4 linked regions of the Saccharomyces cerevisiae S288C genome follow. The protein of the gene in region 3 purifies or fractionates together with the protein of the main gene of each other region. This does not show direct contact. Each region holds a gene or a part of one and is shown on either strand. Other genes may lie near its edges. The genes, in order: KRE33, ENP2, NOC4 and UTP22.

Region 1 (6,764 bases), on a different chromosome or scaffold from region 3:
TTGTCTCTTACCTGGGGGGACAATGTCTTTTAAAGCAACGATTCTGTCCAACAATGTTTCATTTTCATCAAATTCATCTTCAAAATCACTATCAGAGTCATCTTCATCATCGACAACGTCGTTGTTTGTTGCAGAAGCCTTTTCTTCCACGATGGCCTGATTTCTGGAAAATTGTGGTTCGTCTAATTGAACGACATCGTCTTTAATTTCAGTTAATTCGACCATTTGAATGATGCTTATTTTGGGGTATATAGTTCCGTTTTGACCTCTTTGGTTACTTCGTATTACTCCAAAAGTTACTCACTACGGAGTGGAGTATGTTGATTGAAATTGTCTAAAACGGGTTCAGTTTTCGCCGGCATAATCGTAATACTTATATCGCTCGACACGATTGAAAGGAATATGTAAAGGTTCAAACATCAACTATGTTTCTATTCTATATTATTGTACAAATTAAGTAAACGTTTAGCTATAAAAGGGTTTGACAAAGAGTAGAACGCTTAATTTGCAGCCTTTTTAGACTTTCTTGGTTTTTTCATAGCTTTCATCTCTTGTCTATAGATATCTTCAGCCTTTTCAGTCGTTCTCTTTTTACCAGTTTTTAAACTGACGACGCCTTTGGCCTTGGCAGCTATTTCTAAAGATTTTTGAGATTCAGCCCATTCCTCACTGTTATCATTTATGGCGTATTTATCTAAGTTCAAGGAGTTGATTAGCTCTTTTTGTTTTTCCCTCATCGCCTGAACGGCTTCAGAACCGGCTTCTTCTAAATCTTCTTCCATTTGGTCCAGTGCTTCTGCAGCGTTGTAATTTTTGATTTCTTCACCATCCATTTCAGCAATAGCATCATCTTTGATATTTGGTAGAGTTTCTTCAATTGATTGGCTTAACAGCTGACGGAAGTACTGAGACATTTTTCTCATGATCTTCGCAAACATAGCAATAGTTTGATTGGAAGGTAAATTCAATTCCTTGGCAATAGTGTCGATGTTTTTACGCTGTAACCCTATAGCCAACAGGATAGCACTCTGGACGCTTGATAGTTTTACTGAATCTCCCATTTTATCGCCGAAGTACAAAAGAGCAAGCATGGGTATCATATCACCGATAACGTGATAATCTAGCAAATTATTTGAGTAGCTATCCAATCTTTTCAAGTCAAATGGAGAAAAAATGTCATCCAGATGCGTCCGCGTCAATTCTTTATTATCATGCTTTTCGTCATCAGACAAATCTTGTGCTTTCTTACTACTTTCAATGACACTTAAGGCTTGAACGGCAGTAAACTTATGAAAATCATAAGAAAGAAGCGACAGAAATCTTTTACGGAAATCTTTGGCAAATTCAACGAGCCAGTTTGATTCTCTGCCTTCCAAAACGTTCAACATAACACAAGTATGTTCACCAGTTAAATCGTTTGCGGTTTGACGTAAATAAACAGGAACAAAGCTGTTATTCTTCCAGAATTTATGCAACGATTGCGTTAAACCATATGAAACACCCAAATAATGTAGATAATGAGGAGGCTGTTCAGAAAGTTTTAATAGTAGAGGTGGCAACGTTTTTGCGTCTCTTAATTTAACGTCATCCTTTAATAAATTAGTTTTGGCCAGTTCCTTATCGCTCACCCTCTTTATAGAATAATCCTTAGGACGAACATCTTCAGACATGTCAGTGAATTTACCCTCGAAATAGTCTCTCAGTAATTCAATTGCACGAGAACCATAGCCCATGGATGCGTATTCAGGATTAGTGGCAATTCTGACGATACGAGCACCACTCAAACTAGCGAATTCCTCGTCTTGGAATTGTTGAGAGATCAGCCATGGGATTAAATCACCACCAGCTCTTTGGCCTCTCGATAATGAATTTCTGACACTCTCCTTACTGATTTCACCTTCCAATGCAATTTGAATGACACATAGAGGGTCAGGGATCCTGCCGCCATCCTTTGGATCAATTGGTGGTAAAAGAACAAATAGTTTGTGCGCTGGGGCGTCACTCATCAGTTGTAAGTCGTTTGGAGAATTCTTGTAATGGGATGAAACGTACAGTGCCATCATTTTTTCCAGGAAATTTTCTGAGACAGGATGATAAGAAAATAGAGTATCTCTATTGACAACAAATAGATTACATTGGGATGGGTGAGGAGTTCCTCTTGTTGCAAATCTTGGGTTTTTAATTAAAGTAACATCTAAACATAAGAGCTTGTTTAACCATTTTTCAATTGGGTCACCAGGAGCATATCTGATTGGTTCGTCCAAGGAAATTTCACGTAATTGACGGGATTGAGAATGTAAGTGAGAGTCTTTTTCCTTATTATCTCTCGAAACAACGGCGGTTTGAGTACTTTCCCGACCGGATGTGTTGTTTTGATTACGCAATTGCTGAATTAACTTCAGAGATAAAGATCTACCCGTACCTTCGTAACCATTGATAGTGGATGCCATGAAGACTAGATATGGGCCCAGCAAGTTCTTGACGATTGGCAAAGGAATAGCTGCAGCTTCATCAATGACAACTAATTCAGCTTGGCCCAGAACTTGATGGTCTTGAGGAACAATATATTGAATCGTTTGTCTGTGATCTCTTTTAATATCAACTCTCACAATGGCTTTGTTGAAGTCGGGGTTCGTAGATTGAATGATATCATAATCAATGTGTTCTTGGTAACCTAAGGCATCGAATCCTTTGAAAATAAACTCAAATAGAGTCTTTAAATTTTCGGGAGATGGAGAAGTAACAAAAATATTAGAATACCCGTGAGAAACGGCCGCGGCAATAGAAATACCTAAAGCAGCAGACTTACCTCTACCTCTTCCAGCTGTTAGTGCAACTGTGAAATTCAAAGTTTTTTCCGAAATGGCATCAATGAAAGAAAGAATAGCGTGGGCTTGATTGACAGTTTTGGATAGAGAAACCAATGAACCAGCTGGTTGGACATCTTCTAAGGATTCTTTTAATTCTTGCAACTCTAATTGCTTTGGAGGCAATTCGTCATCTTCCTTAGGAGGTAGTGGTTTCACGTTTTTGGCACCAGATAGCGGTAGAACATTTAATTCATCATCAACGACTAAACAGTTTGGATTTGAACCTAAAGAAAGTATGAATCTTTCGTTAAATCTTGCAACAACGTCACCATGAGCCTCAGTACGATAACGGGCGTGAACATCCATAGTCATGGTGTACAGTTGCTTTAACGATGACATTGATTTCAATAAAATAACCACAATACCACCACCTTCTACAGTTTCAATGGTTCTTGCTAAAAGATTTGGGGTTAATGCCTCGAAGTCCTGAAGAATACACATACCATAGGTATTACCCAATATTTTCTCACTCTCTTTGTAGTATACATATCTGATATTTTGGTTAGAGATAAAAGATTCAAAAGGGTCCATTTCATTCACTTCCCTTGTACCTCTTTTAATTTCTTTCTTAATTTTATTCTCTCTTTTTTTTCTGTGCGAAGTGAATCCTAGAAGCTTCTTCTTATAAGCCCATAAGACGGACTTGTTCATCTTAAGGTCAGCACTCATCATCAAATAATGTAAATTTGGGAGCTGGTTACGTGCCCTGTCCCCAACGATGACAAATATGGACCTTTGTTTGGTTTGAACACCATTCCTGATCAGTGACGGGATTCTTGAATCGATAGCTTTTTTGGCCATTTTCTCCTTGTTTTATAAGTCTCTTATAAGTCTTTGCAAGTTAAAAACTAAGAAATATAAAAGGTGACTTGGCTTATATACTCTATTGCGTACTTTATTTGAGATAAATACAGAATCTCCATGCATCTTCAGCACCTCATCTCATCTCATTGTATCTTGGCTCTTCATTTTTTTTTTTCAAAATTTTTCACACGATTCCGGGTAAACTATTACTTTTTACAACTAATTCAGATATACCTGGGAAGTTACAATGGAAAACATGCAATGTTCGGTCTGGCTTGTATCATTTGATTGGAAAAGCGAGCATCGGTTGATACTGAACACATCCACATGCGTAATCATTAAAAAAAATTTTTCAAATTGCGAACTCTGTGGATCGAACACAGGACCTCCAGATGACTTGACCGAAGTTTTTCTTCAGTCTGGCGCTCTCCCAACTGAGCTAAGTCCGCTTATTTTTCTGAAACCTTTTCCGCCTTTTTGTCGTCCCTAGGAATTACTTTTGATGCACTGCCAATCTGAGGGAAAAATGACGTTTAAACGCACGAGAATGTGCAATTAGATGTAAGTCCATCGAAGCCTAGAGAAAGCGGTTCCAACAAAAGACTGTGGGCTCTGTTATATCATCATGTCATCTACCAGTGATAATAATGCTAATAGTGCAAGAGAGAAAAAACCACTGAAATTCGTGTCAGAAGGAGTTGGTAATGTAGAGGCCCAGAGGATACGAGAGCAAGTGGAGCAAAAAAAATATGAAGCGGAATATAAAAGGAAAACCAGGAAGTCCCTGCGAGATCAGCTTAGGTCTAATGCTATTAGTAAACAAAAACAATATAACGGTTTGGTGAGAGACCGTGAAAGTTTTACTAGGTTGAGTAAAGAGGACCTGGAATTTTACCAGAAGAGCAAGAATGAGTTGCTAAAAAAGGAAAAAGAACTGAATAACTACTTAGACGTCAAGGCAATCAATTTTGAAAAGAAAAAAAAAGCATTACTAATGGAGAACGATTCTACTACTAATACAGAAAAATATTTAGAGACCGGCACTAGTTTGGGCAGTAAAACACAAATAAAGGGCGTAAAGACATCCAGCCCTAAACCAAAAATCAAGGTATCCATAAAAAAATTGGGTAGAAAACTGGAGAACTGATGTGATGGCCTACACACTTCGTCACAACTAGAGCTTTATGCCAAGATTAAACTTCAAGTTATATAAATTATGTAAACATTGGACATACAAAACTCGGAAACTCTTTTTCTATTCATCTTCCCTTCTCGTACGTGCCCACGGAAGCAATAAAAAGAACCGAAATAACCAACACCCGTAACGTCAAAGCATTCATGCTTAGAATGGAAACCATTTCGTGGAATGAAATGGCAAATTGATCACATTGATTGCTCGTTCCACTACCTGTGTCCGCAATTTTTTAATGGTCATCACAGCCCCTGCTGACTAAAGTTCCTCGGATCCGCTTACGGTTGTCGCGCGGTTCCGCCCCTGCGTACTCTTAGTACCTAGCATATGGGCTCCCTCCGTTGGATTGGCATCGATTAGTAAGGACAGATGTTAAGGATTTAAGACCGTTTTTAAGGTATTTCGGCAATGCTTCGATTTAAAAGGAGAGAGTTTTTTTTTTGCCGTTTTCTTCCTCTCACTTCTTGATTAGTACTGTAATTCTAGTTGAAAAAAAATCGTTAACTATACACAGCAAAAAGCAATATCATACTGCATATCAAGCATGTCCGCCTCGATTCCAGAAACCATGAAAGCCGTTGTCATTGAAAATGGCAAGGCTGTAGTCAAACAGGACATTCCAATTCCTGAATTAGAAGAAGGATTTGTTCTAATTAAGACTGTCGCCGTTGCCGGTAACCCTACCGATTGGAAACATATTGATTTCAAGATTGGTCCTCAAGGTGCCCTCTTAGGCTGTGATGCAGCCGGCCAAATCGTAAAGTTGGGCCCAAATGTTGATGCTGCACGCTTTGCCATTGGTGATTACATTTATGGGGTTATTCACGGTGCTTCAGTGAGGTTCCCCTCAAACGGTGCCTTTGCTGAGTACTCTGCCATTTCATCCGAGACTGCTTATAAACCAGCCAGAGAGTTTAGATTGTGCGGTAAAGACAAGCTACCAGAAGGCCCCGTAAAATCTTTAGAAGGGGCAGTATCCCTCCCAGTCTCATTGACCACGGCTGGTATGATCCTTACACATAGTTTTGGCTTGGACATGACATGGAAGCCCTCCAAAGCGCAAAGAGATCAACCCATCTTATTTTGGGGTGGTGCCACTGCTGTTGGCCAGATGCTTATTCAATTGGCAAAAAAACTAAACGGTTTCAGCAAGATCATCGTCGTTGCTTCTCGTAAACATGAAAAATTGTTGAAAGAGTACGGTGCAGATGAACTTTTTGACTACCACGATGCTGACGTTATCGAACAGATAAAAAAGAAGTACAACAACATTCCTTACTTGGTGGACTGTGTCTCCAACACAGAAACTATTCAACAGGTGTACAAATGTGCCGCTGATGACTTAGACGCTACGGTCGTTCAATTGACCGTTTTAACCGAAAAAGATATCAAGGAGGAAGACAGGAGGCAAAACGTCAGTATTGAAGGAACCCTTCTATATTTGATAGGAGGTAACGACGTCCCATTTGGCACGTTTACTTTGCCAGCAGACCCTGAATACAAGGAAGCCGCCATAAAATTTATTAAGTTCATCAATCCAAAAATCAATGATGGTGAAATCCACCACATCCCAGTGAAAGTTTACAAGAACGGGTTAGATGATATCCCACAGTTACTTGATGATATTAAGCACGGGAGGAATTCTGGCGAAAAGTTGGTTGCCGTCTTGAAATAAATAATCTATAGCTACTTATGTATATAGCGCTTGATCATTCTGTTTACCTCCACATTATAGTGCCGTTCAATTCCCCTCACCCGCCTTAGTCTTTTTCGGGCAAAAAAAATTGCCGGAAGAGAGACGTCGTTGAAAGAATTTGGTGGATAAACTCGTGAAAGCTTAAAGTAAGGCCTTTCACCTAAACTCGAGTATAAGCAAAAAATCAATCAAAACAAGTAAT
Region 2 (7,724 bases), on a different chromosome or scaffold from region 3:
CGTACTAGTAACAGAACATTTGGCCACGTGAACAGGTCATAGAAGCTTCTACCGTACTCATTTTACATAAGCCCGGTTGCTAGTGCTATTGCTCGCGATCCTTCTAAGAGGGATCGTTAATCCTGCTAGCTGTACCCCGGCCGAGCCACCCAATGAGCACTGAGGAGGGACCTCCACGTGCCAAACGACACTCAAACGGCAACAACAGATCGTATTGTGCCGCCTGAAGTCGCATTAATTCTCAACGGGAAGCTCATCCCTCAACGAAAATCCTAGTGCGCCTTTCACATATGTTCCAGAAGATTCGCTTAGTCGGCCAGCTAAAGCGGTTCAGCTTTTGAGCTAAAAATACTTGGAAAAAATCTGGCCGTGACCATAGGTTACCGCGGAATAGAGGAGAAGTTTTCATCTCTTTTTTTCTTAATGTAGGGCACACGACTCGGGTGTATTTGCTACCGTGTTTATTACCGTCATTCATCGCCCCATCTCATCGCTTTTGCGCACCGGGTTCAGATCATTCAATTTTCTTACTTTTTTATTATGGGGTTCCTCCCTGAGTGTAATTTAACGTGTGCTTTCTTATTGCATTCGTTTACATTCCCTATTGCTCATTGCCCTTCTTTCAGTTGGGCATCTTTTTTTTTCACAATTAGGCCGCCCTTTTTTCCCAAATTGGCACTTGTTTGTACGATCTTTAGCTAGAACTTGGAGACCTGAAACGTGGTGATTCTTATATTTAAAGGAATACCGATCTTTTCCGTTTCAACACCCCAATTGTGAGAATTTTATTTCTTGCATTTCGGAAAATTTAGATACATTCACATCCATACTTGGACACATATATATATACAATATAATCATTGACACAGGCCATCGCCATTGAGTAAACTGTCTTTGAACTGTCTAAAGAACTTAGAACTATAGTGTTGTCCCAAGAAGTTAAAAATTGAACACTTGTGAGAATTATAAAACAGAGTAAGCAAAGAAAGAATAGAGAAACAATACTCCGCTACCGATTCTCCTTTTTTTCCTTATAAAAAAAGCTCGAGAATAATTACTTTATTCTTATCCCTCCACTCCTTTCAGGTATTCTTTACCGATTTGCATATCAATCATATAATGAGCACCGCATTCAACGATTACTGCACTGTTTGTGATCGTCTCATTCCAACATCTCCACAGAAAACGAACATTAATACCAGGAAGATCCAAAGGGACAATGAAACCAAGAGCAGTTTACAATCAAATAAGTTATATTGCTCCGAAGATTGTAAGCTGAAGGATTCGAACCCTCTTAATGAGAAATTATTATCCCACTTGCATAAAAAATCAAAAACTTCTCATTCGCATAATCTCACTCCACCGCTTTCATATTCTAAAAATTTAACTGCATCAAACCTCTTCGAGCCGACTACCTCACTATCTTCATCTCCGACATCTTCAACTATCCCCTTTGACGAGTTGGAGAAGCTAGAGTCCTTATTAATTTCACCATTGCTGCTACCTCAGGATGGTATAGTCAATCCTAAGCAGGAGTCTAATCCTTCTCGTGTTGACGAATATGATGAAAATGAACATTATTTGAACTTAGCCGACTCTCTTAGACTCGATTCTAGTTACCAATTGCATTCAAAGGCACATTTGGGTTACGAAAACAACTTGCCACGATCAAACGATCTAATTGATGATCATTTGATCTCAGATCAGATCATTGAGAATAACTACAACCTATGGTTTAGACTATCCTCCAGTTAAACGGCTTCACTTGCTTCGTATCTTCTTCGACTTGCCTTTAACCTACTCATGATTCATGCTTATTTTTTCTTTTTCGATTTCCTTTTCTAGTCATCCTAAAAAAAAAAAACCTACACATATACATATATACATAGTTCTCTACACATCCTTTTGATAAAGAAAATATGTACGTACATCTGCATTAAAAAAAAAAAACAAAACCCTCAATATTTGGGGAAAGAATTCTATAATGTAAACTGTATCACGCATACTTTTTGCTGTCTTCGTCTTCATACATATAATATTTTTAGTTTAAGGTGAAAGGATAATTAAAATATCAATTTCTAATATAACTACATACCACGGAACGCATTTTTGCTAGCTCTTCTTCTATTTTCGAATCTGGGCTTCGACCTACCATTGTCCTTCTTATTACCATTTTCGTCAATACCTTCTTCATCCGATGAATTATCATGACGCCTGGATTTATAATTTCCGTCTTTTTTGCTTTTTCTTTGAGGAATAAAAGTAAGTTCTGCTTCACCGCGTTGGTTACGACGTAAAATGGATTCATTTGATTTCTTTCCATTTTCCACCTCAAGCAATTCGCCTACTTGTTCGCCAAATGTAACGTGAGCACTTTCGTCTCTTTGCGTACTCGTGGAAGTGCCGGCTTTCATTTCGTTCATAAAACGTTCGCTTTGCTCCTTTTCCTTCTTTCTGCGTTCAATTAGTGCCTTTTGCTTTTCCATCTTTCTCAAATCTTTTTCACTTAATTCTTCCTTATTTGACTTTTGGTTCGTTTCATCATCAGATTCTTCTTCATCAGACTCTTCATCCTCGTAGTCATAGTGACCTCTGCCATCCTTCATTGCAATTCTTTCTTCGTCGGACTCTTCGGCAGCAGTTAGCGCCCTAATACGTTTAGCAGCACCTTCTTCGGTTTCTTTGATGGATTTTACTGGATTCAATTGTTTGAAATCATAGTCATCTTCATCGACTTGAAATTCTTCATCCTCAAACATTTCTTTGAAACGGTCATCCGTAAGAACCTTTCCTGCAACTTTATCACCACGTTTTTGAGATAGTTTATCAACCAATGTTTTATTGACTTTAATTTTAGGTTTTTGAACAGCCCCTGAACTTCTGATTCTGGATTCTCTTTCTTTCTCAATTCTACGTCTAATTTCTCTTTCTCTTTCATCTTTGTAGGCATCTGGATTAGCAATTAATGAAACCTTATCGTAAAGTTCAGTGTTAATAAAGAAACCATGCATGTATGCTCTTAATACTCTGGATCCCACCAAGTGCGTTAAATTCAATTTTTTAACGTCGTCTCTAGTAATGAACCTGTAGTTAGAGTAAACAGTGTCACTTGGTTTTTCTTCTAATTCTTCTGTGATAGAATCCAAGAATGAGCACCAGCGTGGAGATGGTCCTAAACTTGGAATATAATATGTATGCATGGGAATACTTTCGTTAGCGGTGAAAAACATACCTGTACCTGGTACATGCTCAATGTCGTTAATATCAACACTAGGCTCCATAGAAGCGTATGCCTTACCATCTAGTCTATCCCATATTTTTGCAATTCTCTTGTCACATGTAACAATTTTATTTTCCGTGCCGACGTTATCCAACCAAATAATTTTCTTAATGTCAAACCCATAACCTTGGTCTTTAATAATGGAAGGTTCAGAAGTACGCAAGTCATAAATGTATGAATAACCGTTCGACGTACCACATGCAAAAGTTAACCCGTCATTACGGAAACTGGTTGTGGTGACTTGGAATGGTCTGTTGTCAATATTGTTCTCTAAATATAGCTTTGAAACACGGGAACGCGACCTTGGATCCCAGAATTCCACTACATTTGTTTCCGTGCCTGCCGCTAACAACCCATTTACTTCATTGATAGAAACATGGTTCACGCCTTCAGTATCCAACTTGAATGGGTTTAAAAATCTCCCCTTTTCCAAGTTCAACCTGTATAACTCATTACCGCTCGCACCAACATATAAATCACAGTTTACCTTATTGTAAACTAAACTTCTCCCAAATTTAGGAATTCTTGTGGTGTAATGTAGACCACCTTTGTTTTGGAATTGAATACTTCTATCATTTTGTAAATGTACACTTTTAGTCCAATCGTCAGAGAGAATAGTGAAATCCACGTTTTCAGCATCTGTGTGTCTATCGAACTTCAGTGACAAATTAGCAAAATCGTAGACATGGATCTGAGGTTTGTATGTACCGGTAGCCATGCAATATTGCCCATCTCTACTCACTTTAATCTTATTGGAGGCTTCGCTAAATTCAAAATCTTGAATCAGTTCTACTCTATTTTGATATTCTAAATCATTCTTTAATTGCCTTTTGCGCTTTTTCGCAATCCAGTCTGGAAGTGATCTTGAAACGTTTGTACCAGAAACCTGATATACTGAAACATCATTTGCGGAAGTAGATTTCAAAACCATAATGTCCCCTTTTTGAAGATATATGTTGATACCTGTAACTGATGTAATAAATGATGTGTTACTGATTACAGCCGATGAGATGAGATGAGCTTAGCTCAAAATTTTCAATTTTTTTTTTTCTTAATTTTTTTTAAGATCATATTTGGTTACCCGACCATGAAGTGACATTTGAAGAATTGATTTATATTTTTAATATTGCAAGATGTGCGAAAACTCACCATTACAGAGATAACTAAAAGTCTTATCTCATCACTATCGGATCTTTCCACTTAGTATTTTCTACGGTTAATTTAAAAATCAATAATAAAACAAAATCATCAGCGAAAATTGTGTATATAGCGTGTATAAAAAATATATAAATCTTTAAAAGCATACCTCATTAAAAGCCTAAGCAGCAAAGTGTTTCAAAATTTGCTCAGCAGCATGAACACCACTCAAAGCCATAGCTCCAAAAGTTGGACCCATACGGTTTAATCCATCCAGTTCAGCAACTTCCATACCAGCAAAGTACATGTTGTCAACACCGGCGTATGCACCAGAGTGAATAACGACATCGTGTTCGGCATGGTTCATGTCCAGACCCTTCATACCGCCCAATTTTTGGTTTTGATCAATGTCGACGATTCTCTTGGCGCAGAAAGCACCAAATGGACCATCATGACCGGTAGTGGATAAAATGACACCATGCTTTTGACTCAAGTCACGAGTTCCGTCATTTTTGTAACCTGCCAATTCAATTACGTTAGGGTCCATGCAACATTGAGTACCGTGAGCTTGGGTAACTAACGTCCAGTTGGTGACAACACCAGCAACGGTGACTTCGCCCTTTTCGGTAGGTGGTCTGGTAACCAAATCTTCAACACAGGTAGCATTGAACAGTTTAACATTTGGTAATTGCAAGACCTTTGAAAGGACAGTAGAGATGAACAAAGCGGCATGCTTAACGACAACATAGTCACCTTCGTCTTCGTAAGGGATTTCCAACTCTTGTAAGAACAAATGAGCTGGTTTTCTCATAACCATGGCACTAAATAATTGACCACCCAACCAACTACCACCACCTGGTGCAACTGAACTTTCGATAATACAAACCTTCAAGTCTGGTCTGTTCTTGGCGATGACGTAAGCGGCGGATAAACCTGAAGAGCCCGCACCGACAATAATCACGTCAGAAACGGCAAACTTGTCAAGATCCTTGAAATAACGAGAAGTCATAGCACGAGAGACAGTGGATTCGCGGATGGGAGCAAATTTAAAGTCAGACCAATCTTCTTTCTTAACGATGTCAGATAAGCAGTGAGTAACTGGAGTAGAGTTTAAGTGCAATTGAGAGGCACTTGTGGAAGTAGCAGTAGAGGTAGCAGACATTTTGATAGTTAGTTGATTTTTTTGGTTGTGATTTATTATTTCTAGATGATAAGAAAGAGAACATAAAAGATATTTCCCGACTACTTAATACACAATTTATTCCAATATTTATATATCTGGGTAGTTCATAAATTGAAAATCAAAAAATCAATTTCATGATCCATTTCTATTAGTGCTCGTAAAAAAATTTACGATTGAACTTGGTAACTGATAGAATACCAGATTCTTTACTATCAATTATGTATGTTTTTTAACGTGCATAATTATTAAAAGACCATTTGATTTTAAAAATGACGTTAGGAGATCGGACATTTTATGAAAACTTCAGAAAAAGGGCTTAAAGTAGAGTATCGTTTTGGACGTCTACAGGAAAATGGGGTGGTAAATGTTCTTGGCGTAAAAAAAAACTATTCACTAAAGCAATTGAGTGCCGATCCCTGTTGAGGAATGCTCATAAAGAGAAAGTATCAGAATTATTCCCCGCCGTAAATTTGTAAAAAAAGGGTAAAAAACGGTTAATCCTGAAGGGGCTTGGAAAGCTCGCCAGCTTCTTGTAATTCTTGACGCCACATATAGCAATCACTAACGAAGAAGTTGACTTTTTAGGGGGTTGATAAGCATTTTTCCCACCCATTTGCATCAGTTAATGTCAATTCAGTCATGATTTGCAAGATATTAGGAGAAAAAGTATGAAAATTAAAAAAGTAATCTTGAGCGGTACGAGAATCGAACCCGTGTCCCCACCTTGGAAGGGTGGGATGATAACCACTACACTAACCGCCCGGGGTTAACTTGAAAGCTCTAAAAGCTCGTTTTCCATATATAGGCATGTTACAATTCCTTTCCATTCTTTCCATTTTATCCATTATCTGATGCATTTCCCTGATAGAATAAGAACAAACTACCATCCATCGATTAGTATTCATGTCACTAGTATATTAATTATCATTTATGATGTAAAAAGAGGACATAAAAGTTATAGAACAGTCATTAGGTTTAATAAAAGCTTAAATAAGAGGATCGATGAAATAGTAGGATAGTGAAACATATAAAATGGAAAAGAAATAATAATACTATTAGGTAGATATATTGATTCCCTTTGGATTCCTGTATCTTGCAGAAGAACTTTCAACATTTTTTCTATACGCAATATCGTAGCCTGTAACAATAATTGTTGGGATTCCATTATTGATAAAGCAATAATGTTAGGTATGTAGGATATACTAGAATTTCTACTCGAGGGTATAGGAATCCTCAAAATAGAATCGAAATTTCTACATAATAATTGAAGAGAGTGTGGGTTCTGATGTAATTGTTGGGATTCCATTGTGATTAAGGCTATAATATTAGGTATGTAGATATACTAGAAGTTCTCCTCAAGGATTTAGGAATCCATAAAAGGGAATCTGTAATTCTACACAATTCTATAAATATTATTATCATCGTTTTATATGTTAATATTCATTGATCCTATTACATCAATGCTTGCATTTCAGCTTCCTCTAACTTCGATGGCAACTTTTCATACCTTATGTCACCATCTAACGCCTTATATGACAATATACTGACATTAGGAATACTAGTTGATATAAGATAGTGGATTTTTATTCCAACAAATTTTCAGCTCCTTTTTTTCCTAGGTTATAAATAAAAACAGTTAATGAGAAATGAAAATTCTTGTCTTTACTCAAGCAGGAATTACGAAGCCTATCAGTCGCATAATTAATATTGCATATAATGTCTATATCCAACAGTGTTCTTGTAGGGTATAGGAATCCACAAAAAGGAATCAATAAGTTTTACCCTCTACACGTTGTCACCCCTTTCCTTTATCACACTATCAACCCTTGTGTTTGAGCTTCTAATAAATTCGTTCCGGTTGGATCTTATTTTGCTGATTTCATAATTTACCAGCTTCCTAATGGGGTGTTTAGTAGTATTTCTAGCAAAATGAATAATAATATTAACCTCTTTCACGAGTTAAAAAGTTGTTGAATTTCGCGGCAGTAAGAGGGTACCAAAAATACTGGACTAGCAATTGGTTTATTATGAAGTACTTATCCCTGTCTGTACCATATGATATTATTTAGAGAAAGCGCAAGCTTAATACCACCTTGACCTTAAGCAAACTACGTAAGCACTAAC
Region 3 (6,904 bases):
TTTTCTTCACGAAGGGTTTCAAATTTGAGATTAACGGCATTGATTTTCTCTTTCGTTTCTGTTAGTTCATCTTTGAGTAAATCTAGTGTTGCCTTTTTCTCAAATAAGATTGCTTGTGTTCTATTGAGTTCATTAACATTTTCTTTATAAAAGGAAGTTACACCGGAGTTGCTTTTCTGGTTTCCATAAATCAAATTTGCTGTACCTTTATAATTCTTTAAAAGCTCGCGATTAGGTGACATGGATATGCGACTCTGACTAGCTAATGAGTGTCTATGAATATCCGTACGTTGCGGCTTCAGAAGAGTGTGCTTAGGCGGTGGAGTTGTTGTATTTCTTCTTTTGTGGCCATTCATAGCTAAAATATCATTCTTCGGCGATGGTGTCGAGAGATGCTGCGTAGATCTGCCTTTTGTGGGAGTACGTGGAAGTGATTCCATAGTTTAATAGTTGCCAGAATTTCTCTAAGTCCTTTATTTCAAAATCTACCTTTTTTAAACAAAGACTCCGGATAGTTGTTCTGGTATATTCAAATAGAATAATAAGAAACACAAAGAGCGGAAAAATTGATAGCTTTAATGCTTATATAATATTCGATAATTTTTTTAGCTGTAATACTCATCATCATATTTTGATTCGAGGCGCATCAAATTGTAAACAGTGTTTGTTTTGATTTTGTTTGAGATTCATTTTGGTGTATCTCCATTACCCTCTTATTGGAAAATTTTGAAAGAAAAAAATCTAGGATTCGATGCCCATAAGATATAAGGAAAGGTAATAAACAGATGCTATGAATAAAGCGATAGAGAAGCCGAAGGAAAATCAGTACATAATTGATCATGGGCTCCAAGCACAGAGTAGACACTAAGGATAAGAAAAGAACCAGAAAGAATGCAGAATTTGGGCGTGAAAAAAGGAATAGTGGCAACCAAGAGTTAAGTAATGAGCCGGAAAAAGATACAATAATGGAAGGTGATGAAGCCGAAGAAGACGAGCAGAATAGCTCTAGCGATGAATCATCTAAAATTATAGATAACGAACAAAGTGATGCTGAAGAAGATGATGATGAAGAAGAAGAGGACGACGACTTCCCAAGAAAGAAAAAATCGAAAAACAGCAAACATGATGATGGTTCTACTGGATTTTCTGCTGCAGTAAATGCTATTTTATCATCACATCTGAAAGCATACGACAGGAAGGACCCCATCATGGCTAGAAACAAAAAGGTGCTGAAGCAAAGTGAGTCAGAAAAGCTAGAATACAAGGCCAAAAAAGCATTGTTGGCAGAAAAAAAAAAGTTATTAGGTAAAGCCAGAAAGACGGATATTATTCCAATTGCTTCCGGAGAAGACAGGTCAGAAAATATTAGAAAAGTCCTTGAGAAGGAGACAGCGCTCAGAAAGATAGCTCAAAAAGGTGCCGTGAAATTATTTAACGCCATTTTAGCAACTCAAGTCAAGACAGAAAAGGAAGTATCCGAAAATTTAAGCGAAATTAAGAATAAAGAAGAAAAGAAAGAATTGATCACTGAAGTTTCCAAAGAAAAATTTTTGGATTTAGTTAAAGCTGCCGCAGGAAGCGACAATGAATAATCAACATGTTCATGTCAAAAGAAGAAAAAAAATAAAGAAATAAAAACTGTATATTATTTAGTCTATGTCAAGCGAGAAAGGGGCCCTATATCTTCCCTCCTCCTTGCAATTGAATTTTGTTTGCATTCTATATTATCATATAGTTTCATATCAATTGCAAAAACTTTTGCAGCCAATGTTACAAAATTGTTTTCAATCAAAGAAATACAGGTGTGGTGTCCTTCACCATCGATATATTAATATTAATATATCATGAATAAATATAAAAATTCAAGGTAATGTACTTGTGCACTTCTTTTAGAATATAGCAATTTCCCTTAGCTCTTTTTCAAATTGTAATTCTCTACAATACATAAAAAGAAATTGATCTTTGGTTCAACTTTATATATCGCAATAAGCAATTCTCAACATTATGAAAGTTTATCTAAATTAAACAATCTTCAACAATAGAATGGTCTCTTGGCCCAGTTGGTTAAGGCACCGTGCTAATAACGCGGGGATCAGCGGTTCGATCCCGCTAGAGACCATTTATTTTTGACCCAGGTTTTTTTCCTAGGCAAAATTGATAACAGGGACTTACTATTTTCTATTTTTTTTTTTTTTTACATCTCAAACAAGGGAAATCGATGACTCTGTTGATATAAATGTATATATACACACTTTTAAAACTTCGTTGTTCATCTTCGCTTTCACCATGCTACCCCAGGCAAGTAGACGTTACCTTGGGATGACGCTTCGCTATCGCCGTCTTCATTATCAAAAACGTTTGTGAAAGCCTCAAATTCTAACGTAGGAAGTGTCTTCAACTTTCTTGAAGATTCTGCATTGAGCAAAGAATCATAGTTCCAGTCTAAGAAATCTTCCATGTTATAACTTAGCTTCTTAAATGGTTGAGCAAATATCTTCGCCAACGTGGCTACATTAGGATGATAATGTTCCATCAATGACGCCAGCTCCCACAGAGAGGAATCCAGTGCATGAGTTAACTCAGGGTCCGATTCATGAACATCGAAGGGATCTACATAGTTTTCTTTCAGAGTTTTCAAGTTCGCCACTTGGTCAGGTGTCTGGAATGGGTTGGAAATGAAGGCTGGGTTGTGCAGCATAATCATACAATTCGGATGTTTCCTGATTAAATTATAGATGAAGGGAATCACGGTGACAATAGCAGAGGGTGGTGATTCTAGGGTGAGTCTGGCTAGCTTTTTGATGAAAGATGCTACTAAATGGGCGGATAAATGTGTTGATGACAAAAATACGTCCATTAACCTGAAAAATCTTGCTCTGTATTTAACATGCATTAAGTCTGGATTTATAATTTGATAAAGTTTCATATAAAAATTTGGATATTCCAAGTTGAATCTTTTCATCAATTCAAAAAGGCCATTCAGAGCCAAGATCGGAACAACACCGGCGTTTTTATTAGAGCTTTGCAAATTGTAGGAATCAGTAAGGAAATCCATTAGTTTAGTTGGAGTGTGGAAATGAGGTATTATTCTCTTATGCAAAATTAACAGAATAGACTTATACTGCTGTAAAGACAATTGGCCGTTTAAAAGGGATAACCAATTTTTCTCGAAATTGGACTTGAATTTGGACTCGTTCTCTATGGCTTGTGGGGGATTTGGTACAAAGATCTCTAAATCTGCATCAACACTAGAGCAATGTTTGTCATGATTTACTAAAGCTAACCATTTACCAACGTTTTTCAAAAGCAAGTCCTGGTAGGCTGGATCCTCTAATAGTTGGTTAAATTCTGATTGAAAGTAGTATTGAATATCTGCAAATTTCGTATAATATTTTTCCGTGAATTCTACTATGATTAAATTTTCAGACGCACCCGAGCTTTTGACATCCTCTATTTCACCCATGTTCGAGGACCATAGGGCGATGATTAACTTTCTGAATGTTTTATTGGGGAAAAATGGTGCGCCCTTTTCAGATGCAAAATGAGTTGATTCCAGCTCTGCAAGTTGAAGATAGACATCAAGCGAATCTAACCCAAGTGATGTTTCGAAAGGTATGTCCGAAATGATAGCTAACAGCTTCGTCTTGAACGCTTCATACACCTTTCTACACCAATTAACAAACTGTTCCTTCTCTAATGTGCTCTTTTTGGACGAAGGAAGGGTCAAGTCGCCGCGGGAAAACAGCTTTCTAAATATCTGGAATAGCGACATAACCAGAAATCTCAAATTTTTTTCTGTCTCATCTTCTTCCAATTGAGTAACATTTTCTGGAATCACTAGTTCATTGATTAACTTGATAATGGAGTTGTACTGCTTTCTGTCACCCGCAGCAGTCAGCCTCTTGGCAATATCTTTAATTTCTGATATAAGCAATACCATATTCTTTGACGTTTCTTTTTAATAGATCTCTCTTCATGGCAATAGAGGATGATAATTACATCTCATCTCATCTCATCAAAACCGTAATACACTTTTTTTTTTCTCAGTTGGAAAATTTTAGTGAAAAATTTCAAGAATAGCCCTAAACCTTCAAATACGAGGATTACCCGTAGAGAAGTGCTGAAAAACTTTTTTCTTTTTCTTTTTTTTCGATTTTCATTTAACAGGTATAAAAAGCGAAACACTCGGTACATATATTTTACCAAGACGCGTTAGATTTTCTTTGGAGGTTTCATTTAAAGAAACCAATGACCTTCCAAGTTTTTAAAAGAATACGATGATATTATTTGCGTTTCAAATCGAACAATTCTTCTCGGAGCGATCTGAGGTTTTAATGGAGATAGCGGTTCCTGCGCAACCCATTGATCTTGTTACATTCTTAAGAATGACAAGGACGCTTTTATAAAATTCTGATTCTTTTTTCTTTCATTCTTTTGTTGTTTTTGACTTGGGAGTAGTCATCTCATCTGTACACAAGTAGCTTTTTATATGTTCTTAAATTGTAGACTAGTCAAAACTTGTGTCCTTTAAACCGTGCCGAAACAGTTTTAAAGCGGACATCCAGGGAAACTTGCCGTTAACAATAAGTGACCTTGCATGGAAGACTGTCGATTGGTCTCTGTGGAAACCAGTGCATATCTAAATTAAATCTATTGTCATCACGAATGCCGCCCGTGTTCGTGCAACGTGAGCGCAAATACGCCTGGGGTCTGTCTTTCTGCGCTGGAAAGCACCTTCGGGCATCAACTACCGTTTCTTATCGCTGGCACTATCTATCCACCAATCACACGGCAGCAGTACTGCTGCCGTGGACGGCAAATTAGGTACAGGGCCTATGACTGTTATCATTTGGCAGGCTCAGACAGAGAGAGAGAGCACAAGGAAAAGAGCCTTAACTCATGTAACATTTGACTCATTCTGTAAACTGAAAATTTGCTGCCCACTCGAGATGACAAATAGTTCGTTCTTGAATTTATGCGCATTTATAGATACGCATATATAACCCTATAGTGAACGCCACTAGGAGACAGATTCTGTTTGGACCCTGATCGCATACTCTTCTTACCTTTACATAATAAAATAAGAAAAAGTATAACTTGCTTTACGCTAAGGATATAAATCGGACGTAACTTAAGATGTGTGGTATTTTCGCCGCTTTCAGGCACGAAGACGTGCATAGATATAAGCCAAAGGCTCTACAACTATCAAAAAGAATCAGACACCGTGGTCCAGATTGGTCCGGTAATGCTATCAAGAACTCCACTATATTTGTTCATGAAAGACTAGCCATTGTCGGTGTGGAATCCGGTGCTCAACCAATTACTTCTTCAGACGGAGAGTACATGCTATGTGTTAACGGTGAAATCTACAACCACATTCAATTAAGAGAAGAATGCGCAGACTACGAGTTTGGAACACTGAGTGACTGTGAGCCTATCATCCCAATGTACTTAAAGCACGATATCGACGCTCCTAAGTACTTGGATGGTATGTTTGCTTGGACTCTTTACGACGCTAAACAAGATCGTATTGTGGCAGCCAGAGACCCAATCGGTATTACGACATTATATATGGGACGCTCTTCCGCTTCTCCAAAGACCGTTTATTTTGCATCCGAACTAAAATGTTTGACTGACGACTGTGACACTATCACTGCATTCCCACCGGGCCACGTATACGATTCTAAGACTGACAAGATCACCCGTTACTTCACACCAGATTGGCTGGACGAAAAACGCATTCCTTCCACCCCAATAGATTACATGGCAATTAGACACTCCTTAGAAAAAGCCGTTAGAAAGAGATTAATGGCCGAAGTCCCATACGGTGTTCTATTGTCGGGTGGTTTGGACTCCTCTTTAATCGCTTCCATTGCTGCCCGTGAAACTGCAAAGGCCACTAACGATGTCGAACCATCAACTTACGATAGTAAGGCAAGACATCTAGCAGGTATCGACGATGACGGTAAGCTACACACTGCTGGTTGGACAAGTCTCCATTCCTTTGCCATCGGTTTACCAAATGCTCCAGATTTGCAAGCCGCAAGAAAGGTTGCCAAATTCATCGGCTCTATTCATCATGAACACACCTTTACATTACAAGAAGGTTTGGATGCTTTGGACGACGTGATCTACCATTTGGAAACTTACGACGTTACCACTATCAGAGCTTCCACTCCAATGTTCTTACTATCCAGAAAGATTAAGGCCCAAGGGGTCAAGATGGTTCTTTCCGGTGAAGGTTCCGATGAAATCTTCGGTGGTTATCTATATTTCGCACAAGCTCCTTCTGCGGCAGAATTTCACACTGAATCCGTGCAACGTGTCAAGAACTTGCATTTGGCAGATTGTTTGAGAGCTAACAAGTCTACGATGGCTTGGGGTCTAGAAGCTCGTGTTCCATTCTTAGACAGAGAATTTTTGCAATTGTGTATGAACATCGATCCAAATGAAAAGATGATTAAACCAAAGGAAGGACGTATTGAAAAGTACATTCTAAGGAAGGCATTCGACACCACAGGAGAACCAGATGCTAAGCCATATTTACCAGAAGAAATTTTATGGAGACAAAAAGAACAATTTTCCGACGGTGTTGGTTACTCCTGGATCGACGGATTAAAAGATACCGCCGAAGCAGTCATTTCAGATGAAATGTTTGCCAGTCCAAAGGCCGAATGGGGTAGTGACATTCCAACCACAAAAGAGGCTTTCTGGTACAGACTAAAATTCGATGCTTTGTTCCCTCAAAAGACCGTGGCTGACACCGTTATGAGATGGATTCCAAAGGCCGACTGGGGTTGTGCTGAAGATCCTTCTGGTAGATATGCCCAAATTCATGAAAAACATATCGAATAAATAACATTAAAAAATAGAAAAAGAATTATGGATTAATCTTATAGATATT
Region 4 (9,020 bases), on a different chromosome or scaffold from region 3:
GAAGAGGAATACTTGAAAAAGAAAGATCTACACTTGAAAAATCAATTAGAGTTCAGTAAGTTAGAAGAAAGCTTATCGAAAGACCTGAAAAACTCAGAAGGGAGGTTCCAAAAGGTCAATCAAGAATTAGTTCAACTAGGCTCTAAACTGGACAAATTGAACGCGAGAAACGAGAAGTTACAAAAGGAGGTCGATCAGAACGCAGAAGAGATAGAAAAGTTCAGTACTCAATTTTTGAGTAAAAGAGAAAAGGATAGATTTAGAAGAAAGGAGTACAGGATACGCGAAGCCAATAAATTTGAATTGACTATAAAGGGGTTAGAGCAAGATATCAACAGATTAGAAAATGAGAATGAAAATATACATAGTCTAATTGGTAATAGTTACTGATGGAAGATTAGAAAACAAAGATAGATAAGAATTCGTTTTGTAGCATCCTAAAATTTACTTCTATTGAATATATACATGTATTTATTACTTGGACGTTCTACTTTAAATGTAGTCAGTCGTTTTTTTCTCGATATTGTTTTTTTATTGTTTCCTAATAACTTCATTTGTTACTTTTTTGCCTTTTGTTATTTATGGAAATAATGCAGGTTAACATAAGTAAACATAAAATATGAGAAAAACTAAGAATGTTTGCTGATGTATTGAACAGTTCACATCGTTGTGTCTACTATTAACACTAAGTTGTTGATCAAAACATTCCCTAATTAATAGCTGCCCCAGGACTTGGAAGGCCACACTACTCTCCATGACATCAAAGATACGGCCCAAATAATCTGTATCCTCGATATGAACTTAGGACCACATATTTGGAGCTTGTCCAAAATACTAAAATGGCAGATAACAATTAGATGGTTCCAATTCAAATACATTACAAGCTACGAAAACTAATATTCTATAATTTATACTAAGTTCATGGAAAGAATTGCAATGGATTGAGGTTTCTAACGAGGTTATCACTACCGCAAATATAGAGAGTAAGTTGGTAATATACAACAATAGAATTTAATCAATAACCAATCTCAACATTATTGTATCGTATTTTAACTTATAATTGTGCTCATATCAAGTTTTCTAGGTTACAATTACGACCAATTCTCAGGTTGTTTTGCAAAATTGGCGAAGAGATGGAGGCCTACCACATATTATCACGATTTGATAGGGATAATCTGAGTAACGATTAGTTATTGACGAATCCCTTTAATATAGTTTCCACACGAGAATAGGCGCCTACTAAAGAATTGATGAATCTGCTGGTAATTTCTAGGTTTCCATTATTCGGTAAAATATACGGAATGTATTAGGGGTTCTTCATGACGATCAAAGATCCATGAATGGAGATCGGTATTTTTAAGTAATAGTGCTACTATTTTTTTCCTTTTTGCATTCTGTCGTTCAATATCCTGTTACATTATTAATCTTAGTTTCGGATTCCACTGAAATCAATAACTATATCCCATGGCTTGGGCCTTAATTCTTGTGTCATATACAATAATATGCTAGTGCCGTGAACACTAGCCAATGAAGAAATGATCGTTTTCCAACACATACCGGACGTGGCTCTGATAGTGCTCGACGATGGAAATTTCAGCATGCATACTGATGTATGTCAAGATAACAACTACAGTCCTATCGTCGTGATTATAGGGAATCGACCGCGCCACTGCTATGACAACGGAAAGTTTATCCATGGCCTGCTGATTTTGATGCTGCTGTGGACACGAGAATACCAACACCTGTTCACATCTTCATGTGGATGAACGTAACGAAGTGGATATTTAGGCTCGGTAGCGAATCTTTTGCCGTACCTCCAAATTTATCTTGTATCGATTTTTCCGTCTAGTTGAAACTGTTATTATCCGCCCCTCCAATTTTCTGTAAAGCATAGGTGCTTCTTCAAAGTATCCAATGTATTTCTTAAGCTTATCAAGAAATAACATACTTCGAATACGTCCCAAGTTTTCTGATAACTTTATCATATTCTTTTGGCTAATTGGCGATCGTTTATATACCCCAGTGATTTTGGTTATAAATTTATAATATAGTTCAAACTATCCTTCCTTTAGAACAACTGTAAGCTTTAATTTTGAGCAAGCGCTACCATTTGATATATAGCAAACTAACCAAAATGCTAAGACATCTTCTAGTCTAAAAGTAACTCTTTTTCTGTGTATCTAATTCACATTGTGAATTTGAAAAGTACCCTTATTTGTATATATGTTGGTTTTGATGGTAGGTGACCTCACTTTTCTTTAGAAAATTTGCAATTATAGTTTTAGACAATCCCTTTATGTTTCATGTGCGTATTCATTATTTTTAACAAATTCCTAGTTCTCAAATCTGAGTCTCTTGGTAAAAATTTGCCTCCTTAGCTTAGTGGTAGAGCGTTGCACTTGTAATGCAAAGGTCGTTAGTTCAATTCTGACAGGTGGCATAATTTTATATATCTCTTTTTTTGCTTGTTGTACGGAAGTTCTGTCCATCCGGTGGGCGACCGGTATAGAATTATCGCGCCATCCATGAAGGTTGGCCCAGGGCCGAGTAAAGATTTAGGCAGGACCGGTGGTGGCCACTGCCTGGGAACGTCGGCCTACGGCTCGCTGCATGCCGTTGAAAAATTTCAATTGTAATTTGGAAAATTTAACCAAATGATAATTTCAATATGTACCACTAGCACTTTACGTCAAGAATCTCAAGCAAACCAAAGGGTTTTAATCTTATACTTTTCCATTCTATTTTTTAATAGAATTTAAATCGGCAGCTCTTATACTTGGAAACAGGACGTTTTCATTTTGCTTTTTTGAAGGCCAGATATTTGCTTTCACTTTAAGAACCAACTCCAAGAAATCTTCAAAGTTTCCTTTGTTAGATTTATCCTCTGATTGAATTATTGAAACCACAGGTATAATCACTTTGGGGTAGAACATTATAGTTTTCATAGAAATTTTACAAAGGATCTCCTTCATATACCATGGCTACAAGTGTTAAAAGAAAAGCATCTGAGACTTCTGACCAGAATATTGTTAAAGTGCAAAAGAAACATTCCACACAGGACAGCACAACTGACAACGGATCCAAAGAAAATGATCACAGTAGTCAAGCCATCAACGAGCGTACCGTGCCCGAGCAAGAAAACGACGAAAGCGATACTTCACCTGAAAGTAACGAGGTCGCTACTAACACTGCTGCGACTCGCCACAATGGAAAGGTTACTGCAACAGAGTCCTATGATATTCACATAGCTAGAGAAACGGCTGAATTATTCAAGTCTAATATTTTCAAGTTACAAATTGACGAATTACTGGAGCAAGTGAAGTTAAAACAAAAACATGTTCTGAAAGTCGAAAAATTTCTACACAAGTTATATGATATTCTCCAGGAAATTCCTGATTGGGAGGAAAAGTCATTAGCTGAAGTGGACTCCTTCTTCAAAAACAAGATTGTTTCTGTTCCATTTGTTGACCCCAAACCTATTCCTCAAAATACTAATTATAAATTCAATTACAAGAAACCAGACATCTCCTTAATTGGCTCCTTTGCTCTTAAAGCTGGAATTTATCAACCTAACGGCTCTTCCATTGATACTTTACTAACAATGCCAAAGGAGTTGTTCGAAAAAAAAGATTTCTTAAATTTCAGGTGCTTACACAAGAGGAGCGTTTATTTAGCATACCTAACCCACCACCTATTGATATTATTGAAAAAAGATAAATTAGACTCATTTTTGCAACTCGAGTATTCTTATTTTGATAATGATCCGCTTTTACCAATTTTAAGAATTAGTTGTTCCAAACCAACGGGTGATTCTCTTTCTGATTATAACTTTTACAAGACCAGATTCTCTATCAACTTGCTTATTGGTTTCCCATACAAAGTCTTTGAACCAAAAAAACTGTTACCCAATAGAAACTGTATTAGAATAGCACAAGAAAGCAAAGAGCAATCTTTACCAGCCACTCCTCTTTACAATTTTTCAGTGTTATCTTCTTCAACACATGAAAACTACCTGAAGTATTTATACAAGACGAAGAAACAAACAGAATCTTTTGTTGAAGCTACTGTTTTAGGTAGATTATGGCTGCAGCAACGTGGGTTTTCATCCAATATGTCGCATTCTGGTTCATTGGGTGGATTCGGTACTTTTGAATTTACTATCTTGATGGCAGCGTTATTAAACGGTGGTGGTATAAATAGTAACAAGATATTACTTCACGGGTTTTCATCATACCAATTGTTTAAAGGTGTAATAAAATACTTAGCCACTATGGATTTGTGCCACGACGGCCATTTACAATTTCATTCTAATCCAGAGAATTCCTCCAGTTCACCAGCTTCTAAATATATTGATGAGGGTTTCCAAACTCCAACCTTATTTGATAAGTCAACCAAGGTCAATATTCTTACAAAAATGACTGTTTCTTCTTATCAAATTTTGAAAGAATATGCCGGTGAAACATTGAGAATGCTAAACAACGTTGTTCAAGACCAATTCTCAAATATTTTTTTGACTAATATTAGCCGTTTTGACAATTTGAAGTACGATCTGTGTTACGATGTACAGTTACCTTTGGGTAAGTACAATAATTTAGAAACTTCTTTAGCTGCTACATTTGGGTCAATGGAAAGAGTAAAATTTATTACTCTGGAGAATTTCCTCGCCCACAAGATTACAAATGTTGCAAGGTATGCATTGGGCGATAGAATCAAATATATCCAAATTGAAATGGTTGGTCAAAAGTCCGATTTTCCAATCACCAAAAGAAAAGTGTACTCTAACACAGGAGGTAACCATTTCAACTTTGATTTTGTAAGAGTAAAATTGATTGTTAACCCCTCTGAATGTGACAAATTAGTCACCAAGGGCCCTGCTCATTCTGAAACTATGTCTACAGAAGCAGCCGTTTTTAAGAATTTTTGGGGAATTAAATCTTCCTTAAGAAGATTCAAGGATGGCTCCATCACCCATTGTTGTGTTTGGTCTACATCCTCATCAGAGCCCATCATTTCCTCAATTGTTAACTTTGCATTGCAGAAACATGTTTCAAAAAAGGCACAAATATCAAATGAGACTATCAAGAAGTTTCATAATTTCCTACCGTTGCCAAACTTACCCTCAAGTGCTAAAACATCAGTTTTGAACTTGAGCAGCTTTTTCAACTTAAAGAAATCCTTTGACGATTTATACAAAATAATTTTCCAAATGAAGTTACCGCTTTCTGTAAAATCAATCTTACCGGTTGGCTCTGCATTTAGATACACTTCCTTATGCCAACCAGTACCATTCGCATACTCTGATCCAGATTTCTTTCAAGACGTCATTTTGGAATTTGAAACCTCACCTAAATGGCCAGATGAAATTACTTCCTTAGAAAAGGCTAAAACAGCTTTTCTTCTCAAAATTCAAGAAGAATTAAGCGCTAACTCTTCAACTTATAGGTCGTTTTTCAGCAGAGATGAATCCATCCCATACAATTTAGAAATTGTAACCTTGAACATCTTGACACCTGAAGGTTATGGATTCAAATTCAGAGTTCTAACTGAACGTGACGAAATCCTTTATTTAAGAGCTATAGCGAATGCTAGGAATGAGTTGAAACCAGAATTGGAGGCCACATTCCTAAAATTTACTGCAAAATATCTGGCTTCCGTAAGACATACTCGTACTTTGGAGAATATATCTCATTCGTATCAATTCTACTCCCCTGTGGTAAGACTATTCAAAAGATGGTTGGACACTCATTTATTACTAGGTCATATAACGGACGAATTAGCAGAGTTGATTGCCATTAAACCTTTTGTTGATCCTGCACCATATTTCATTCCAGGTTCTCTTGAAAACGGTTTCCTCAAAGTGCTTAAGTTTATAAGTCAATGGAACTGGAAAGATGATCCATTGATTTTAGATCTAGTAAAACCAGAAGATGATATAAGAGATACATTTGAAACAAGTATTGGAGCTGGCTCAGAGCTAGACTCCAAAACGATGAAAAAGCTTTCTGAAAGATTAACCCTAGCACAATATAAGGGCATTCAAATGAACTTCACGAACTTGAGGAACAGTGATCCCAACGGTACACATTTGCAATTTTTTGTTGCCTCTAAGAACGATCCAAGCGGTATTCTTTATTCATCAGGTATCCCACTACCCATTGCTACAAGGCTTACAGCATTAGCTAAAGTAGCCGTGAATCTTTTACAGACACACGGTTTAAACCAGCAAACTATCAATCTTTTATTCACGCCTGGATTAAAAGATTACGATTTTGTCGTTGATTTGAGGACACCAATAGGTTTGAAATCATCCTGTGGTATACTTTCAGCCACAGAGTTCAAGAATATAACTAACGATCAAGCCCCATCGAACTTTCCAGAGAATTTGAATGATTTAAGTGAAAAAATGGATCCAACATACCAGTTAGTGAAGTATTTGAACTTGAAGTACAAGAATAGTTTGATTTTATCAAGCCGCAAGTATATAGGTGTGAATGGTGGAGAGAAAGGAGATAAAAATGTCATCACAGGGCTAATAAAGCCACTCTTCAAGGGAGCCCACAAATTTAGAGTAAACTTGGATTGCAACGTTAAACCAGTGGATGATGAGAATGTGATTTTAAATAAAGAAGCCATATTTCATGAGATTGCTGCATTCGGGAATGACATGGTTATAAATTTTGAGACAGATTAGAATAAACAACAAAATCATAACTTTTAGAAGTATCTGTATAATATTAAATAATTAAAGCAGCCGGCAGTTTACATAAAGAATATTTTTCTTTAATTCTTTTTTTTAGATGTGGTCCTTTCGGCGATTTGGCACAAGTTAACTTAGTATTTTTAAAAGTTTTGAATAGTACTGCTGTGGCGACGCTCAGAATAAAGCTAGGTAAACGATTTGAACGCCTCAACTAGCACTATTTGATAGCATTTTGGCTGCAGAAAATATACAAAGACCTTATGAGCTCTGAAGAGGACTATTTCGATGAGCTCGAATATGACCTTGCCGATGAAGTTAATGAGGAAAAAGAAGACATACAAACTAAAAAGCTCACTACGGTAAATTGTCAAACAGAAAAATTCAATCCATTCGAAATTCTTCCGGAAAGTATAGAATTATTCAGGACGTTGGCACTCATCAGTCCTGATAGGTTATCTCTATCAGAGACAGCACAGATTTTACCAAAAATTGTCGATTTAAAAAGAATCCTTCAACAACAAGAAATAGATTTCATTAAACTGTTACCGTTTTTTAACGAAATCATCCCCCTCATCAAGAGCAATATAAAATTAATGCACAATTTTCTAATCTCACTGTACAGTAGACGTTTTCCAGAACTATCTTCATTGATACCATCACCATTACAATACTCAAAAGTGATAAGCATACTGGAAAATGAAAATTATTCAAAAAACGAAAGTGATGAACTATTTTTCCACTTGGAAAATAAAGCAAAATTGACCAGAGAGCAGATCCTCGTTTTAACAATGTCCATGAAGACGTCTTTCAAAAACAAAGAGCCATTGGACATCAAAACGAGGACGCAAATTTTAGAAGCAAATAGCATATTGGAAAATTTATGGAAACTACAAGAAGATATAGGTCAATACATAGCCTCAAAGATATCAATAATTGCCCCTAACGTGTGTTTCTTGGTAGGCCCGGAGATAGCAGCCCAATTAATAGCACATGCTGGAGGGGTTTTGGAGTTCAGTCGCATTCCCAGTTGCAACATTGCGTCCATTGGGAAGAATAAGCACCTCTCACATGAGTTACATACATTAGAGAGTGGAGTACGACAAGAAGGATATCTATTTGCTTCTGACATGATTCAGAAATTTCCCGTTTCTGTCCATAAACAAATGCTTAGGATGCTTTGTGCAAAAGTATCACTAGCCGCAAGAGTTGATGCTGGCCAGAAAAACGGTGATAGAAATACAGTTTTAGCTCATAAATGGAAAGCCGAACTATCGAAGAAAGCTAGAAAGCTATCAGAAGCCCCGAGCATTTCTGAAACGAAGGCTCTACCTATTCCGGAGGACCAACCCAAAAAGAAAAGAGCTGGGAGAAAATTTAGGAAGTACAAGGAAAAATTCAGACTATCGCATGTCAGACAATTACAAAATAGGATGGAATTTGGCAAGCAAGAACAAACTGTTCTTGATTCCTATGGTGAAGAAGTTGGTTTGGGTATGTCTAATACTTCTTTACAACAAGCAGTAGGAGCTACATCAGGTTCCAGAAGATCTGCTGGTAATCAAGCCAAGCTAACAAAGGTAATGAAGCACAGGATTTCTGAGGCTAATCAGCAAGCTGACGAATTCCTAATCTCCTTGGGTCATAATACAGAGCAACCGAATCTGTCGCCAGAGATGGTTCAAATGCACAAGAAACAGCATACTAACCCAGAAGAAGAGACCAATTGGTTTTCCGGTCATGGTTAGGGCTCTTCTACATACTTGATAATATTTAAAAAGATATTATATAGTAGTGACCGGCGAGAGCGTTTTCGCTCATAAATTTCGTAAAAAGCCAAACACCACACGCTGCAACCCAGATGCCCTTTTTAGGAAATGTAATTATTCAAAAAGTAAACAATGACATGTTTCATTCCTCAATCTAAATCATTCGAAGCTACCTTGATGTTGAAGCCCTCCGCTTGTTGTTTATTTAAAAATAAATACAAGGAGGCAATTCGTCCAAGTAAATTATTGTAAGATAGAAACCTTGCTAAAGATAGAAACTAATATACCAGAAAAATTCAAGCAACATCTACAGTATTCCTTGCTAAAGAAAAATTCTTTAATATGCTATCAAAATCAGAAAAAAATGTCGACCTCTTGGCAGGCAATATGAGCAATTTGAGTTTCGATGGGCATGGGACTCCTGGGGGCACTGGACTATTTCCTAACCAAAATATAACAAAGAGGAGGACAAGGCCTGCGGGTATCAATGATTCACCTTCGCCGGTAAAACCATCCTTTTTTCCTTACGAAGATACTTCCAACATGGACATAGA

Evidence for each region.
Region 1: the proteins of NOC4 (region 3) and KRE33 purify together in Saccharomyces cerevisiae (affinity purification with mass spectrometry; 9 studies listed by BioGRID, with this or other methods). This does not show direct contact.
Region 2: the proteins of NOC4 (region 3) and ENP2 purify together in Saccharomyces cerevisiae (affinity purification with mass spectrometry; 6 studies listed by BioGRID, with this or other methods). This does not show direct contact.
Region 4: the proteins of NOC4 (region 3) and UTP22 purify together in Saccharomyces cerevisiae (affinity purification with mass spectrometry; 8 studies listed by BioGRID, with this or other methods). This does not show direct contact.

Annotation. Positions count from the first base shown.
Region 1 is NC_001146.8:372,228-378,991, reverse strand, and holds KRE33 (ribosome biosynthesis protein KRE33), read right to left. Parts: upstream 3,672-6,764; coding exon 501-3,671; downstream 1-500. Other genes in the region: TOM22 (Tom22p), read right to left, coding at 1-225; FYV6 (Fyv6p), read left to right, coding at 4,300-4,821; YNL134C (uncharacterized protein), read left to right, coding at 5,411-6,541. UniProt on the Saccharomyces cerevisiae protein: RNA cytidine acetyltransferase with specificity toward both 18S rRNA and tRNAs. Catalyzes the formation of N(4)-acetylcytidine (ac4C) at positions 1280 and 1773 in 18S rRNA.
Region 2 is NC_001139.9:778,254-785,977, reverse strand, and holds ENP2 (ribosome biosynthesis protein ENP2), read right to left. Parts: upstream 4,212-7,724; coding exon 2,088-4,211; downstream 1-2,087. Other genes in the region: YGR146C-A (uncharacterized protein), read left to right, coding at 541-702; ECL1 (Ecl1p), read left to right, coding at 1,120-1,755; THI4 (thiamine thiazole synthase), read right to left, coding at 4,599-5,579. UniProt on the Saccharomyces cerevisiae protein: May be involved in rRNA-processing and ribosome biosynthesis.
Region 3 is NC_001148.4:817,484-824,387, forward strand, and holds NOC4 (ribosome biosynthesis protein NOC4), read right to left. Parts: upstream 3,941-6,904; coding exon 2,282-3,940; downstream 1-2,281. Other genes in the region: KAR3 (Kar3p), read right to left, coding at 1-440; rRNA-processing protein RRP15, read left to right, coding at 840-1,592; ASN1 (asparagine synthase (glutamine-hydrolyzing) 1), read left to right, coding at 5,137-6,855. UniProt on the Saccharomyces cerevisiae protein: Involved in nucleolar processing of pre-18S ribosomal RNA and ribosome assembly. Has a role in the nuclear export of 40S pre-ribosomal subunit to the cytoplasm.
Region 4 is NC_001139.9:659,381-668,400, forward strand, and holds UTP22 (rRNA-processing protein UTP22), read left to right. Parts: upstream 1-2,977; coding exon 2,978-6,691; downstream 6,692-9,020. Other genes in the region: NNF2 (Nnf2p), read left to right, coding at 1-390; U4/U6-U5 snRNP complex subunit PRP31, read left to right, coding at 6,961-8,445; serine/threonine-protein kinase DBF2, read left to right, coding at 8,809-9,020. UniProt on the Saccharomyces cerevisiae protein: Involved in nucleolar processing of pre-18S ribosomal RNA and ribosome assembly.